Linked DNA regions of Arabidopsis thaliana. The main gene of each other region encodes a partner of the protein of the gene in region 2 in a complex. Each region holds a gene or a part of one and is shown on either strand. Other genes may lie near its edges.

The links. Proteins that work in one complex are often made in the same cells at the same time.
Region 1: TIC55-II (region 2) and Tic22-IV share a complex: the UniProt entries of both Arabidopsis thaliana proteins name them as parts of the tic complex.
Region 3: TIC55-II (region 2) and TIC40 share a complex: the UniProt entries of both Arabidopsis thaliana proteins name them as parts of the tic complex.

Annotation. Positions count from the first base shown.
Region 1 is NC_003075.7:16,063,884-16,068,599, forward strand, and holds Tic22-IV (Tic22-like family protein), read right to left. Parts: upstream 3,015-4,716; 5' UTR 2,833-3,014; coding exon 2,467-2,832; intron 2,377-2,466; coding exon 2,314-2,376; intron 1,942-2,313; coding exon 1,867-1,941; intron 1,771-1,866; coding exon 1,720-1,770; intron 1,603-1,719; coding exon 1,543-1,602; intron 1,438-1,542; coding exon 1,375-1,437; intron 969-1,374; coding exon 933-968; intron 848-932; coding exon 755-847; 3' UTR 554-754; downstream 1-553. Other genes in the region: AT4G33355 (Bifunctional inhibitor/lipid-transfer protein/seed storage 2S albumin superfamily protein), read left to right, coding at 3,214-3,563, 3,676-3,685; FLDH (NAD(P)-binding Rossmann-fold superfamily protein), read right to left, coding at 4,106-4,246, 4,342-4,647. UniProt on the Arabidopsis thaliana protein: Involved in protein precursor import into chloroplasts. Imported into the intermembrane space via the Toc translocon. May be involved in the import pathway used by proteins without a cleavable N-terminal pre-sequence.
Region 2 is NC_003071.7:10,573,392-10,577,483, reverse strand, and holds TIC55-II (translocon at the inner envelope membrane of chloroplasts 55-II), read right to left. Parts: upstream 2,543-4,092; 5' UTR 2,447-2,542; coding exon 2,052-2,446; intron 1,961-2,051; coding exon 1,858-1,960; intron 1,777-1,857; coding exon 655-1,776; 3' UTR 546-654; downstream 1-545. Other genes in the region: AT2G24830 (zinc finger (CCCH-type) family protein / D111/G-patch domain-containing protein), read left to right, coding at 1-491; AT2G24810 (Pathogenesis-related thaumatin superfamily protein), read right to left, coding at 2,785-3,020, 3,103-3,237, 3,296-3,451, 3,568-3,622. UniProt on the Arabidopsis thaliana protein: Involved in protein precursor import into chloroplasts. Part of the redox regulon consisting of TIC32, TIC 55 and TIC62.
Region 3 is NC_003076.8:5,449,049-5,455,130, reverse strand, and holds TIC40 (hydroxyproline-rich glycoprotein family protein), read right to left. Parts: upstream 4,512-6,082; 5' UTR 4,324-4,511; coding exon 4,128-4,323; intron 3,877-4,127; coding exon 3,759-3,876; intron 3,671-3,758; coding exon 3,613-3,670; intron 3,503-3,612; coding exon 3,485-3,502; intron 3,075-3,484; coding exon 2,765-3,074; intron 2,646-2,764; coding exon 2,539-2,645; intron 2,432-2,538; coding exon 2,368-2,431; intron 2,006-2,367; coding exon 1,921-2,005; intron 1,816-1,920; coding exon 1,775-1,815; intron 1,591-1,774; coding exon 1,545-1,590; intron 1,439-1,544; coding exon 1,344-1,438; intron 1,263-1,343; coding exon 1,159-1,262; intron 1,059-1,158; coding exon 1,011-1,058; intron 929-1,010; coding exon 875-928; 3' UTR 554-874; downstream 1-553. UniProt on the Arabidopsis thaliana protein: Involved in protein precursor import into chloroplasts. Part of the motor complex consisting of a co-chaperone (TIC40) and a chaperone (HSP93) associated with the import channel (TIC110).

The sequences.
Region 1 (4,716 bases), on a different chromosome or scaffold from region 2:
ATGTTACAGATTTGTTCACAAAACCTCTACCAACTACAACTTTTGAAAAATTGGTACAAAAGACCATAGGCTACAATTGGTTGGAAGAATAAAGAAGAGAAAAAATGTTAGTAGGTGCAATATGCGACGACGGAGGAAGTCAAGCAAGCAACAAGTTTAGTTCTGCTGTCAACATCGCTTACTTACGCTTCAGGAAAGGATCAATGCTTTTGAAACAATCTCATCTCCTTTTCTTTTTCTTACTTCAACTTGTTTTTTTTAAGGCAGTAACAATTAGTAAGGATGAAAATAATCACATTATCATTAAGCTGAGATGTCAAAGCGATTATGATGAGAGGAAAAGAAAATGAAAATAAGTATTGGTAAGACATCTTAGTTTTAATAATCGTATATCAACCAAATTTGATCAATAATTAGCTTAAACCAACATATCATTTTAGAGGCCTCAACCTCCTTTGAATAATTAGGCTGATACTACATTCTAATGACAGATGAATAACGTACATCTCCACTTTTTAAAACAAACAAGATTATGTTATTTGATTTAGGTATCCGTATATGCCAAATATATTTTTCTGGATGTAAGAACCACGAGTAACATGTTGATGATGTGTTTAAGTGGTAAAAGGAGAGGAGAAAACTAAATTTTGGGACTGTGTTGAGCTCTTTGGGCAATTGATAATATTGCAAAATCTCAAAAGAGGCTGTTTTTTTTTTATCAAGTAAAAATACACACATTGTGTCTATTATGGTTTTACTCTTTGATCAAATCCTGCATGTGTTGTGCATAACTTCTTCCCGGTGGAATGAATATTACATCTTCCCAACCTGAATTCTTCTCGCTCATCTACATTGATTCAATTCAGATTTTTATTAGACTACCAGGTTTTCATACTTTAAGGTTTCTTTAAACAAAGAAGAAGCGTGAGTACCTCCATTTTCCTCAACACATCTTCCAGACTCCCAACCTGCAAAACAAAAAGATTAGTTCCATGGTGAAGATAAGAAAACTCTTAACAAAACCAATGCTGTGAAATTACTTTATATATTGATCTCTGATATGCAACTTTGATAACGATAAACCTTGGAATTCATTTTAACTCAGATATATGAAGGCATGTACAATCTGAATTCCGCTCTTTCTAAAGTTTTCTAAGACTTTTCCCTTTCCCTCGCTGTTCCTTTGAAAACATGGTGTTATATGTTTGCAGAACATGTAATCACAAAAAATGCTAGAAATTACATATGATGCCAACACAGCTACTAGCTACTCCCACTTGTTAGTAAACCATGTCTTTAGATCAAGGTGTTTGTTTCTATCTTACGTGGCCTATCGAAGATTCAAATACATAGAAGGTAGGTATGAATCATTACCATAATTTGTTGATCTCCTCTTGATGCTCTCGTATATTTAGAAAGTTCCCTCTCTATATCTTCCTGAAAGTGGTCACGCAGAACAGGAAAGTAAGAGTTATCTTCCTCTGTTTTGGCTTATGAGAGATCTATTAGTATTCTTTAACGTGGGAGAAGAAACTAACCAACCTTACTGAAATATACAGGGCAGTAACGTCTATTTTTTTTCCTCACAACAAGAAGCTCAGACTGTAGAGGCCAATAACAACAGATAGATATCAAGAGAAAACAAAGCAAAAACACCAAAACATAAGGAATCCATATTGGTATAATAGAAAAACACAGAAAATGAGTATATCAATTTACCTGAAAAACCGGAACTCCATCAAACCCATTCTTATTTCCTGAGGATTTGAGCTGAGACGCAAGAAAATATAGCTTATGGATAAGATTGAAATGCCAAATAAATGCTATAGACACATATAATTAAAAGTCTGTTTAGCATGAGCCAACCTCTAACGCATTCTTTATTTGGATTGGATCTGGCAAGAAGCGAAAGGAAATCCCTTCAACTTTTAGCAAGTACACCTGTAAACAACATCATCTTAACTTCTGGGAATGTAGCTACCACGATTACGCAAATAACATCAAAAAGTTCCCTAAACGTAGTTATAACTTATAAGTTCCAAGCCATTAGAGGGATTATAATCATGCCATCGTTGCATTCTTTCTTGTGACGATGTTGTCAACATTGCTACGTGCACAAGAACACAATCTCCCGTTCATTCAAACTGCCAACAGGTGTTCCTATTACCGTATAATATAAACAACTAAAATGAGGCCAGACATGAACAAGTCTACTTAGAATTTGAGCTCCTGAAATTTGTTTGTTTCATTTGATTTAACCAATGGCTTCTTCCACATTGATCTAATGCAGTGATCATAAGGAAAGGGAACTACCTGGTCCAGAGTAATGGGAACAACCTTCGCATTGGTTTTCAATTCTCTTCTCCGAAGTCGCGCCTAAAGGAGTATATTAGAGAATTATGAGCTCAGAAACTTCACATTTTTTTAAAAAAGTTCGGAGGAGAAAAATACAACAAAAAGCGAAACCTGAGCAAGAAAAGCTTCAGCATCCTCTTGTCGAAAACAGAGCAAACCGATAGACTTGCCTCCGGTAGGATCCGAGATAAGAACGAATTCGTTATTGGTGTTACTGACTGTAAACACCGACGTCCCAGCGAGAGCTTTAGCGACAAGAGATGGACTCAACGTCGTCGTCGGGGTTCCAGACTTGGATTGTGAGACGGAGGCGAAAGGCGGCGGAGTAGGAAGAGAGAAACGTCGAGTAGCTAGGGTTTCGGCGAATCGTTTCGTGTCTTCGATTCGGGCGGAGAGGTCGGAGCTGAAGCGGGTACACTGGTGGTGAATGAAAGAAGAGAAGGAGAGGAAAGGATTGGGTTTCACTGATGACTCCATTTTTGGATTTGCAGAGAGAAGAAAGAAGTAGAAGAAGAAGAAGCAATTTTTGATACTATGAAGAGAGTGAAGAAAAAGGCTTCAGAGCAATTCGTTTGGGCTTTTTTATTTGGGCTTTATTGGACTTGATTGGTTTTAGTTTACGTTTAATATGGCCCTTGATCAAAAGTTTGGTGACAAAGCATTTATTAACTTTCTAAACTCAACTTCCACACCATTCTAAACACATGACATGACTTACAAAAAGCTTTTGTCACTCAAAATTCATGTCGATGACATTTTTTTCCTCCAAATTTCTCCTCCTTATAAAATACTTACTAGATCAAGCAAACAACACACTAAAGAAAACAAAATTGTTAAAACTCTCGTTAACTGAAAAATATGAGGAACATTACTACTACAACCCGAAAAATGTTACTACTTGTGATTACGATTTTATTGGGGATTGCGTATCATGGAGAAGCCATAGCATGTCCGCAGGTAAACATGTACTTAGCACAATGTTTGCCTTATCTAAAAGCTGGAGGAAATCCGTCTCCAATGTGCTGCAACGGACTTAATAGTCTAAAAGCCGCAGCGCCTGAGAAAGCCGATAGACAAGTAGCTTGTAATTGCTTGAAGAGTGTAGCTAATACAATCCCTGGAATTAATGATGATTTTGCCAAACAACTCCCTGCTAAATGTGGTGTTAATATAGGAGTCCCTTTCTCTAAGACTGTGGACTGTAACAGGTAGCTACTGCAGTTTCTTTTTAATATTGCCGAAACATGTGTAGTTGTGAGAGCTTCTAACTACATAATCCTCTAATTGACCTATTTAATTTGTTTTGTGAACACTGAACAGCATAAACTGAAAAGAAGATTGACTACCAACGGCCATGCAGCTACAATAAAGTGGATATCCTAAAAGATCAAAACCATCATGAACAAATTATATGGATACTTAGTATTTATCTTCTGATCATATATGTTATAGATGTAATCATATAGTTCTTGGCAGATAAAATGTGATTATTTCCCACATTTACATATTCCCTCTTTCCTACTCTCACACGTAGCTCAACATCTTAAAATATGATCATCAGCATTTGCACACAATGTTTCACATTTATTTGACATACACGATCAAAACGAAGCAGTTTTGTAACAAGATAAAAATCGATTGGGTTAAAAGTGTAACGGGAGAAGTAAAAATGTAGTCATCACTCATCATAGTGACTGAATTCAAGGGAATATTATTCTTCGAAATACCTGAAAGATGGGAAATTTGAATTTCAGTAGTGAATGACGCCCAGACTCTTCAACCAAGGGAGCATCTCCTCCAATCCTTCCTTTAGGCTTCGAGGGTTATAACCAAGTTCCAGCTTAGCCTTATCACAAGAGTATGACCACTGATGTCTCAGCACTGTCACTGTCTGTTCATCACAAAATACTAAGAGTTGAGATTATTCTATACCTAATAAGATAATCTATAATATGTGGGCAACTAATGAATGCAATTGAAACTCACCGGAGGACTGATAAGTGGAAGCTTTCCTGTAACCCGAGAGATTAAAACAGATAACCATCCGTATGCGTTGATGGCCCATAATGGAATGCTAAAGTTTGGCTTTTTGGTTCCAGTAATCAGTGCAGCCATGTCAAAGACAAGCTTGAAAGAAGCATTTTCCCCAGTGAGTAAGTATCTTTCACCAAGCCTACCTTTTTCCATTGCAGCAACATGACCCTCCACAACATCATCAACATGGCTGAAGGAGTATCTATCCGTCCCAGAGCCAATATATCCAGGCAACCTCCCGTTAAAGCGCTCGATCAACTAGAAGAACAACATCATGTGATAATCAACCACATACTGTCAATGTACCACTACATCATCCCACCAATG
Region 2 (4,092 bases):
TTCCAGCAAAGCGGTCACTGGATTATGCTCTTGAGCACATTAGGAATGGAGAATGTAAAAGCGAGAAACAAAAGAAGAAAAGGAGCAGAGGTGGGAAAAGGAAGCGTGGGAAGAAGTTTGCAGAAGCAGCTAAAGCAGCGAAACAGGAAGAGGAATCGAAGCCAGATTTGTTTAGCTTAATCAATGAACAAATTTTTCCTACCCGCCATGAGAAAGTACACAGCGAGTCTGTAAAAAATAGGCAAAACAAAGGTCCAGTAGACAGGAAAGCTTTGGTTGAATACCAAGATGAAGTCAGAGACTTGAAGTTAGAAATGTTGAAACTAGAACAGATGGTGAACAGAAACAAGAAAGATCTAGTTGTTTCAGAGGCTGCGACGAGAAGATTGAAAGAAGTCCGAAAGGCATTGGCAAGTACATTAGCATGTCAAGCAGCTGCCTCAAATGCTATAGTAAGCAAAGAGAATGAGAAGAAATGGCTCAAGTTTTAGAACATAGAACTTTAAACCAGTTTAACAGAAATTTCATGGTTAAACTGTAAGATTGATGGCAAACATTGGAACCTTCTGAATTATATAATTGCGTTTACAAGCAAAAATTTATTTCATGAAATACATATTGTTGGAAGAAGAGGAAACATGACACTATACATTTTCATAGTCTTCTGTGTGTTCTAATGAAGTTATTGGTGTTTAGATTTATAGCTCTTAAGCAGGTATAAGCTGCGGCTGAGCACAATGCTGCTGAACCTAACAGGACAGCCTTCCACTGTCTACTAACCACCAGAATGGCCAAAGCCGTCAAAGCCACTGCCGTGGCAGAGAGGATATTTTTCCAGAGCTCAAAAGATTTGATCACATTGCTGCAGCTTCTACAATGAATAATATGTCTGAAGTACCGGTTAGCCAAATTGGGAGCATGCATAGTCCCAATTCCGCCTTTTGCAGGGTAAGAAGCAGAGAGAGCTGCAATGAGCCCTGCCGGGGCATGTTCCACGACAGGAGGGACTTTGGGGAGAGATATGGTCCTATGCCCGAAATGGTAAGGCATCCCATGACCAACTTTGTCCATCCACTTTCTATATTCAGCGACCCATGTGTCCGATGACTTTAGATTCAAATACAAGTCCTTAGTTGGTACTTTCTCCTTCATCAGAACCTCATTTTGAGACGATAGAAACCCCATGTCTTGTTCAAAAACCTTGCAGGCATTCTGATGCCAGAACCATTGAGGTAACACCGAAACCAAAGGCGATCTTTTTGTGACCCCAAACCTAACAATAAGCATAGACTTCCCTTGCCCTGTAGGTCTACAAAGAAACAGCCCTGAAAAATAGTTCTTCACTCCATCCTTCCCCTCGAACTCTCGATTGTTCTGCAGAACACAAGGAGCATCAAACCGAAGTAAATTACTCCCTTTCCCACCTTCTTTCTCTCGGCCCCAAGTCCCTGCGAAACCCCGATTACTTCGCTCTGTGACCTCGAAAACCAAAGGCTGAGCATCTTCTCTTTTAGCAGTGAAATCCGTTCTATCATGAGAGATAGGAACATGAGCAGGATCCATCAGATTCTCTAAAAGAATGGAATGGTCATAAGGAAGCTCATGAGTAGTCGAAATGTCGAAAAAACCGGGTCTAGCGAAATTCTCAAACCAAGGAAGCTTCTCAGGGTTTGGAGGTGTCTTTGTTGACATCCACACCCACACAACTCCTTGTGAATCCTTCACCTCATACGTCTTCACACAAGCAGCCTTTGGAATCTTAGCACTTGCAGGAAGCTGTTAGAAACAGAACCCAAAACCAGTAAGTACAGAGTAAAGAGAAAATCTCGAAATAGCAAAAATCAGTAAACAAAGAACCTGAGGAATCTTGACACATTTGCCCTCTCCTTCAAATTGCCAACCATGATACAAACATTCCAATCTCCCATCAATCAATTGTCCTTCAGACAACTTAGCCAACCTTTATAAAAAAAAAGACAAAACTCAATTTCAGATTCCTAAACAAAAGTACAAAACTAGTGGTTGTGGTTTTGCTAGATGATTTATCTTACCGATGAGGACACCGATCTTCGTAACAACGAAGTGTTCCTTCACCGTCTTTATACAAAACAATTTGACGATCGTAGACGGTGAGGCCAAGAGGCGCATCTTCAGGGACGTTTTTAGTTAAGTACAATGGATACCATTCCTCTGTCCAATCATAATCCGCCACCTCAACACGTTTCTCTTCTTCAGGGTTTAAAAGAACATCTCCACCTCCTTCTGTTTGATCAGATACGGCGGTTCCAGCGACGGCGGAGCGGCGGAGGAGACGTAGACGAGGCTTTGTGGGTATAGTGCATGTTGATCTGTGGTTGTGGATTATTGGTGTTGGTGTTACTTTAGTGAAGAGAATCGGAGAAGTGGGTGTGAGTTGTAGAGAAGAGCTTAGAAATGGAACAGCCATGGCGGATTCTTCACTAGAGAGCTCGAATCCAATGTTAGGTGTTGTTTGCCTCTTCTCATAAAATATATCATAAGGTTGCTTGTTCAACCATTGGACCTCGTTCCACCACATACATAGATAGTAGAAACTTTGGCTAAACGACGTCGTTTATTTTTACGTTATTTAAATGTCATTTTAACTTCTTTTTATTTTATTTTTAATCTTTTAAGTTTTAACATTAGTCTTTTTTGCTTTAATACATTTCATAGTGATGAAAAAAAAACATAAAACTATGTTAATAGTGATTAATTATTTATTCATTGTTGATAATAATAACAATAAAAAAGGCTATACTATGCCTAAGAACAGAAACTGATAACATAATTAGCACTAGTACATGTAAATCTACTCGAAGCATAATCGTACACATAGCTATACGCAGTGGGACAAGCTCCTTTAAATATCTTCGAGTATTTCGTCGGCGGGCAAGTCTCCGGTTTACTGAAAGCGCCGGTGCAACAATACTCCGGTTTGTTAAAAGCCTCACAAGCACTCTTACACGCCACAACACCCGATGAGCCGTTAACGCGTAGCTCTTTTGGACAAATGGCATTCACGTCCGAAACACATCCCGCGGTTTTACAATTGCCTGAGCCACCTTGTGGTGTGATTTTCACCTGAACGTTGTAACCGTCGACGAGACTCACGTCGTAAGAATCTTGTACGGTGTATTTCTTTCCAGAGGAGCCGATTCTGAATTCTGCTAGTGTGGCTGGTGGTGCTCCTCTTGCACCGGTGCATTTTTACATTTTCTGGAACCAGAGGCGTTGAAGTTGCAGCCCGTTCGACCCCAGATTCGACCAGACCAACCTGGAGAAACGGTTAAGTTTACAGAAGAACCTGAAGCTAAGGCAAATCCGCCGCCGCGGAGTAGTGTGCGGTTTGCGGTTAGGATTCCGGGCCACACAGTAAAGTTGCAGCGGTTTGATAAAGTGAAGACGGTGCCGGAGACAATAGAAATTGTACCTTGAAGAATATACAATTAAAAAAAAATTACTAGGACGGACAACAAAAAAAAATTATCAGATAAATTATTAAATCAAAGTAGTCATCTTAAAATGTTGGAAATGTTTTATGTATACATGTGGCTATGATGAAGGAGAAGAAGAGAAGATGTAATTTGGAGAAAATAGCCATTGTTAATCTGAGTATTGAAAAGTTGAAGTTGTGATGATTAGTGAAAGTTGATGGTGAGGATCCTCTGTTTATAGTGTTTTTCTTTTCTTTAGAAACAAATCCATTAACTTATTGTTTTGGATACTACTACCATAAGTGACACTTCATATTTTTATTTTTTTTACTTTTAAAGTTTAATGAGATTTTGTTTCTTATTACATAAAAATCAACTTTATTAATCTTAAGGAAATCTCCGTAAGCATTGATGTTTTGGATTTTACACACATTAAAAATTAAACATTATTTTATGACTGTTTATTTTTTATATTAAATATTTTTAATAACTATAAACTAATACTCATTGATTGTAATCTAATAAATTTAATCATTGCATCCTGAACTTTGTGATTTATAATATCAGTCAATAAAGAAGAAAAGAAAAAAAAAACTACAAAATTAAAGTGGAATAAACTTAAAATGATTAGAAAAAG
Region 3 (6,082 bases), on a different chromosome or scaffold from region 2:
TACTAAAAAGACAAAAGCTTTCTGAATAATCATGCTCACAGAATATCACATACCGTCAAACATTACGATTTTATAACTAAAACACTCTTCAAATGAATACCAAGCAAGGATGGTTTTTTCTCCTCGATTTTCTCAAGAGTCAGGGGATTATAAAGAACGGAAATACAAATTTGAAGTCACAAGGATACTTACCCACGACTCAATCATGCGACTCACAGCCGTCGGAGGCAGACGTATTCGACGGAGCCAAGGATTTCACGCGCCAATTCTCCCGACAACGACCGACGTACGGAATACAACAACAACAAAAAAAAACTCCGACTCCGATAGAAGTGGAACGATAAGGGTCATTGATTTCTTTAAGATGGGGCCATCACTTCATTAAACCGCTTCGATATCGCCACGTCACTTCTCCTTTTGGATATTAAAAATAAGGTAAAATTCCAAAATAAATCACAACTATTTAAAATTTGCGAGAAAAAAACTTCAATTTTTTAAATTGCTAAAACAAAATATTGGCAGATTTATTCACACAATCTCAAACAAAAAAAATTGAGGTTTTTTCAAGCAAATTTTGAATACATGAAGTTTATTTTGGAAATTTTCCCTTAAAAATAATAATTTGCTCTTCAGTGTCTTCATAGACTTTTTTTGGTAAGACAACAAATTCTATTGTATAATATTCATACCAAACAACAGCAGCGGCGTTTTCACACGACTCCAATTCCCGACCGCGTTTAAGATTAACATGGTACACAATTCTCTGATCTGACCAAAACTGAAGACTCTTTGCAAAAAAAAAAACATTTTTTTCTCCCTACAAAAAGCTAAAGACAATGTGACATTTTTGATAGAACCAAAGACGTGAGCTTTTTCAACCCGTCATTCCTGGGAAGAGCTGCGATATCTTGTTGAACACATCCATTACCTGCAATCAATGTATAATAACCTCAAATTTCTTAAAAAAGTAATCGCCTTTTTGGGCAATGGAGAAGTGGCAGTATTATTACCTCTTTGTCGTTTTGGTACTTCATGATGTTCATTGGGTTCTCTGAGCACTGCAACAACAACAAGAATGTAATTGGTTTCTGTTTTGTATGAAGAAAGAAGTGGGGTAAAATTAAGCAATTCTCTTATTCAGGTTAAAAGAAAACGTACTTCCATTAACGCTGCTTGGACTCTAGGATTCTGGAATGCCATGGCAACATCAGGGTTCTCCATGATCTTAGATATGACTTCTTCTGGAGTTAGTCCTATTTGATCTGACAAATACAGATTCAATCATTGAGTATCAGACCTATTTAACGTACTATTAACTTGGTACAAACTGAGATTTGTCTTACTGAATTGTTGCTTCACTTCAGGACTATTCAGGTCAAAATTCTTCAATGTATCTGTCATTCGCTTGTCCCATTCACCACTCCCACTCATATTATTCCTAAATTCATGAAAAGAAACAAACAAGAGTATTTCTTAATTACATAGTTTAGACATTCTTAAAAGCAATGGAAACAACTAAATTGTTCGTAAAATGGAGCTCTTACAACATGTCCTGTAGTTGTTGACGGTACTGAGGATTTTTAAGCATCCCTACAAAATTCCAAGCGGAGACAATAAGTACCAAACTGTATTTTAAATTTAGATAACCATTGGATCAACCTATAAACGAATTACATCATTCAAAAGCTAGTCATGTAACCTTTAGTCTTTAGAAATATGTAAAAATGAGGACTAATAAAAGAATGATAGCAGGATTAAATATTAAAAGACTTACATTTGAAAGTTTCTGGGTTCCTCATCTCCTCAGGCAAGTATCTGCATTTATACATGCAATGTTACCAAATGTCCACTAAGCAACCAGTTTTAAAGATAAACTTAATGGATGCATTTAAAGACAATGTGCTAGGGAAGATGAGTTACGGGTAAACCATCTTCTGGACTGTTGGATCTTCCATCATTTTCTCTAAAGCTTCTACAGATAAACCCGGCCCTCCTTTCCCACCACCTGTGTAAACAATAGACAGACTCAGGATTCAGTTTTAAATTTAGAATAAGGAAAAGAGAGACAATAACGTGAGCATATAAGAAAAAAGAATCATAACACATGAGATATGAAACAGATTGCCAAGGTAATATCCTGCAAGTCTTATATGGTTATACCAATACAGATCAACGACTAGCAGAAGGACAAAAGTAACGGAGTAGATCCTTTTGAAGCCAACTCATTCCTCTTTATCACCAATTTCATATCTTCCTTTGTTTATAATTGTTGGCATATGCTATAAAATAAAATTGAAATCCGTAGCCTTAATCATGAATCATGCACAGTGCGCTGATAGTGATGAAAACTGAAATTCAATAACTCACCCAAAGATTGAAAAACCTCTGAAGCAGTGGCACCATTTGCCGGACCAGCTCCATTTTGCAAGACCTTCACCCAGAGATCAATAAGAGAGCATAGAAGGTTAGCAAAACTATGTCACGTTTTTAAATCACCACTTGGTGTGCTGTGGAAATACAAAAGAAAACGAAACTTACATCCTCAAACAAGCGAGTTTCTTTGGGGGAATTAGTTTCAGAGACTTCTGCATAGTTGCTAAATGGGCTTTCTTTTGTGGTTTCCTCGGGTGAAATGTCTTCAAAGGCTGCATCCAAAAGTAAATCAGCTTCCAAGTTAGAAGCTTGGAAAATGAGAAAGGAAGAAAGTCAAAATTGAGAATACAAATGAAAAGACGTTGATTTCTGAAACAGAAAAAGAATCTACCATAGTTCTTTTCTTCTTTCTTCTCTTTGCTTGCCTCTAAGACAACACTTGGCTTATCCACCTCTATATCCTTTGCAGGTGTAGGTTTCGGTTTAGTTGAAGGAGGTGTCTCTACTTTTGTCGCTGTCACATCAACGGTAGCACCTGAAGACTGGGATTGAGATTGGAATGGCGAGGAAGCAGGACTTGTTTGAGGAGGAAATGGAAACGGAAAAGGTGATCCTGATGGGAATCCAGAATTATTAAACTGGCTATTTTGCGTATTCATTTGGTTCATCATCGTCTTCATAGCTGTTTGCATTGCATATTTCTAAACCAAAGCAAAAAAAAAAATCCAAAGAGAGTAACAGCCGGTTAGAGAATAATGAGAGAAAGCAATGACAACTTGTATAATATATTTCAATCAAATACTGGAGTTGCGAAAATGACTATAAGTCTGAATACCTGAGTTGCATCACTAAAACCATAATGGTATGTAGGTTACCATCTACGAATCAAGTGACTACCCAAAAAAAGAGAGGCAAAAGTTCGATGCTTATATAAACGGTTCAACAAGTGTGAGCAAACAGTTCACCTTGTTAAGATAACCAGTTTAGTGAATAAAACTATCTCAGATACATGAGCACAATACACTAGAGTTGACATGAAGCATAAAATCGTGGTTCTGCAACAGACTAGAGAACAAAAGTCCCGTAAAACCAGAGGGCCAAGTATCTGTACCTTTAAATTTGAAGTTACCTGCAATGCCATCAGAAAAGAAAAAAGGTCAAGCACTTATTAATCAATATTGAAGCAAGAAAGAATATTTATAGAGGAAAAAAAAATTAGGAAGGAATCTTGATACTCACATATGAGAACAAAGCTGATAGACCAACACCAACACCAATCCAGAAAAGTGGTGATCCTCTACAAGAAAAAAGAAAAAACACAATTTAATAACCAAGAATCAAACGACATACAAACTAAGCACATTGTCCAAAACCAGGAAAATTACATGGTTGATGAAGATGGTGGTGGCACAGGCACACTAGGGGAAGCAACAGAAGTTGTCTGTTGATCACGACTCGAAGAAAATATACTTGCAAAAGCTTTGCTTCTCTGTTTCACAACCACTGCAAATCGAACATAAACTTAAAGTAAACAATTCTAACAATGAATGGTTTCTACAAGAATTCAAATTGCAAATTCACAAAGTGTGGATTTTTTTAAGAGATATAGCAATTCATAAGCTCATATTAAACCAGTCGAAAAGGGTTCGCAATTTGAGTTTCAATAAGATAGATAAAAGTAATAAACTGGAAATTTTTCCGGAAAATTTTGGCATTTGCTATAATAGAGTGTCGAGTGGAATTTGCAAACTAACCGATTTCTCCAGTGTTCTCCGGACGCGAAGAGGGAGATTGAGATTGAGCAGAGGCAGATATTTTGGAACACCGGAGGACAATATTAGGAGTCCGACGAGAAAACCCAGTAGGGTTTTTCAGCGAGGAAGTGAAATTGCATCCAATTAACAGCTTTGGAGAAGAAGCTGAGCAAGAAACTAGGGTAAGGTTCTCCATATCTAATTGTTTCTTTGGGAGAAAAAGAAACAGAAGAAGGAGAGCCTAAAACAAATTCTGGTGGAGAAGATGAAAGATATGATGAGGAAGAAGGAAACGAAGAAGAAGAGATTTTGGTCTAAAACCACGAGGTTTGAGTTTAGCACTAGACTTGGATCCAGTGTAGCTAAGTGTACTGAAACCTTTTTACAAATTAACAGGTGGCGATATTTTCACCGTCAAGATCAATGAGTTTTATTTATAAACCAAGGGTGTGATGTGAGTGAGAAACTCTTTCGAGATTATTGCAAAAGCCATCCCCCACTTTTTCTTTTTGTTATGTTATAGCCCGTATCTATTTTAAGAATCAGTGTACACTCATTTTTGTAGCAGAAAATCAATGATGTTAGTACTGTGATTCAGATTTTTCTATATACTGTGTTCTTTTTCTTTTTTTCATCCAGAATTTTTCCATTGTATTATAGGTTGTGAAATACAAAGGGTGGAATACAAATTTGAAACACAAAGCCGGCGGAAAACAAAAATATCTCCGGAAACTAAACCTAAAGAAGGGAAAACTTAAGACGAAAAACGAATAAAATTACGAACTATGGAAACAAGGGGAACCACAGATGGATTAGTCCCCAATTAAGCCCATACATGAGAACAACAAAATTGGCTAGGTTTTTCGTTGTGTTTCTCGTCCAAACGAATGAGACTACGCCCAAATGGGACTAATCCATTTGTAGTTATACTGTTGTGTTTTTCGGATTGTCCAAAAAATTGAATACTTAGTTCAAAGCTCACAATGAACAGGTTCAAGAGCCTTACGCCTTTAACATTGATTTAGGATTAGAGAGTCTGGAACCGTTGCCGAGTTACATAGTTTACACATTTCTTATTAGAAAAGAGTTTTAGTAATAAAGAAAGATACACTTTCATATAGTTTCTGAATATTATTATGGAAGTGTAAGTCTCCTATATGTAACTCGTTCACCTTCATCATCAAATTGGTTTACACAGTTTGTTCCATATGTCATTCCCAAAGTACATTGTTCTGTCAAATTATTCCACCATGTGGTAAACATCGAATAATGCTCTCTTCTATTTTCCCAATTTTTTGTGAATTTTCCCCAATTCGAACATAAAATGACATTAAAATTCCTAACTCAATATCTTTGTAAGAAGAAACCCACTCTTGGTTGGATACATATCAAGCATCCAAAAAAGATCACAAAGTAATCTTACAAATCAGCTACGTTTAACAATATCGAAGACAAAAACAGAATTCATAGCTGCTTCTCAGACAAAGGGCACAATGATTCCACATATGAGTGCTTGAGAAAATGATAATGTTCTTCAAGATTTAAACTAAGAAAAATATCGAACAAGAGCTCTACACTGATCTCTTCCTTGATCTAAAACACAAAGGGAAACAAATCCCCTTCAAGTATTTTAGATCAAAGTGTCATCAAGCAATACATATAGCTCAAGAACTCTTTCTTTGGATTAAATCAAGAAGAACCACATCACATTCTCAAGCCCATCTTTTCAGTGTGGTTAAAGCAATATAATCATCATAGAACAGCCAAAAAAACAAACCAATTTTTTTTTTTAAAACAACAAATTTAGAAAAACTGAATATGAGAAAAAGCTGCTTCTCAGACAAGGGCCAAGGTTGTCCACATGAGTGAGCTTGAAAAACGTGAATGTTCTTCAAGCCTCAAACCATGAAAAATGTTGATAAGAGCTCGACATTACTCTCTACCTTAATCTAAAC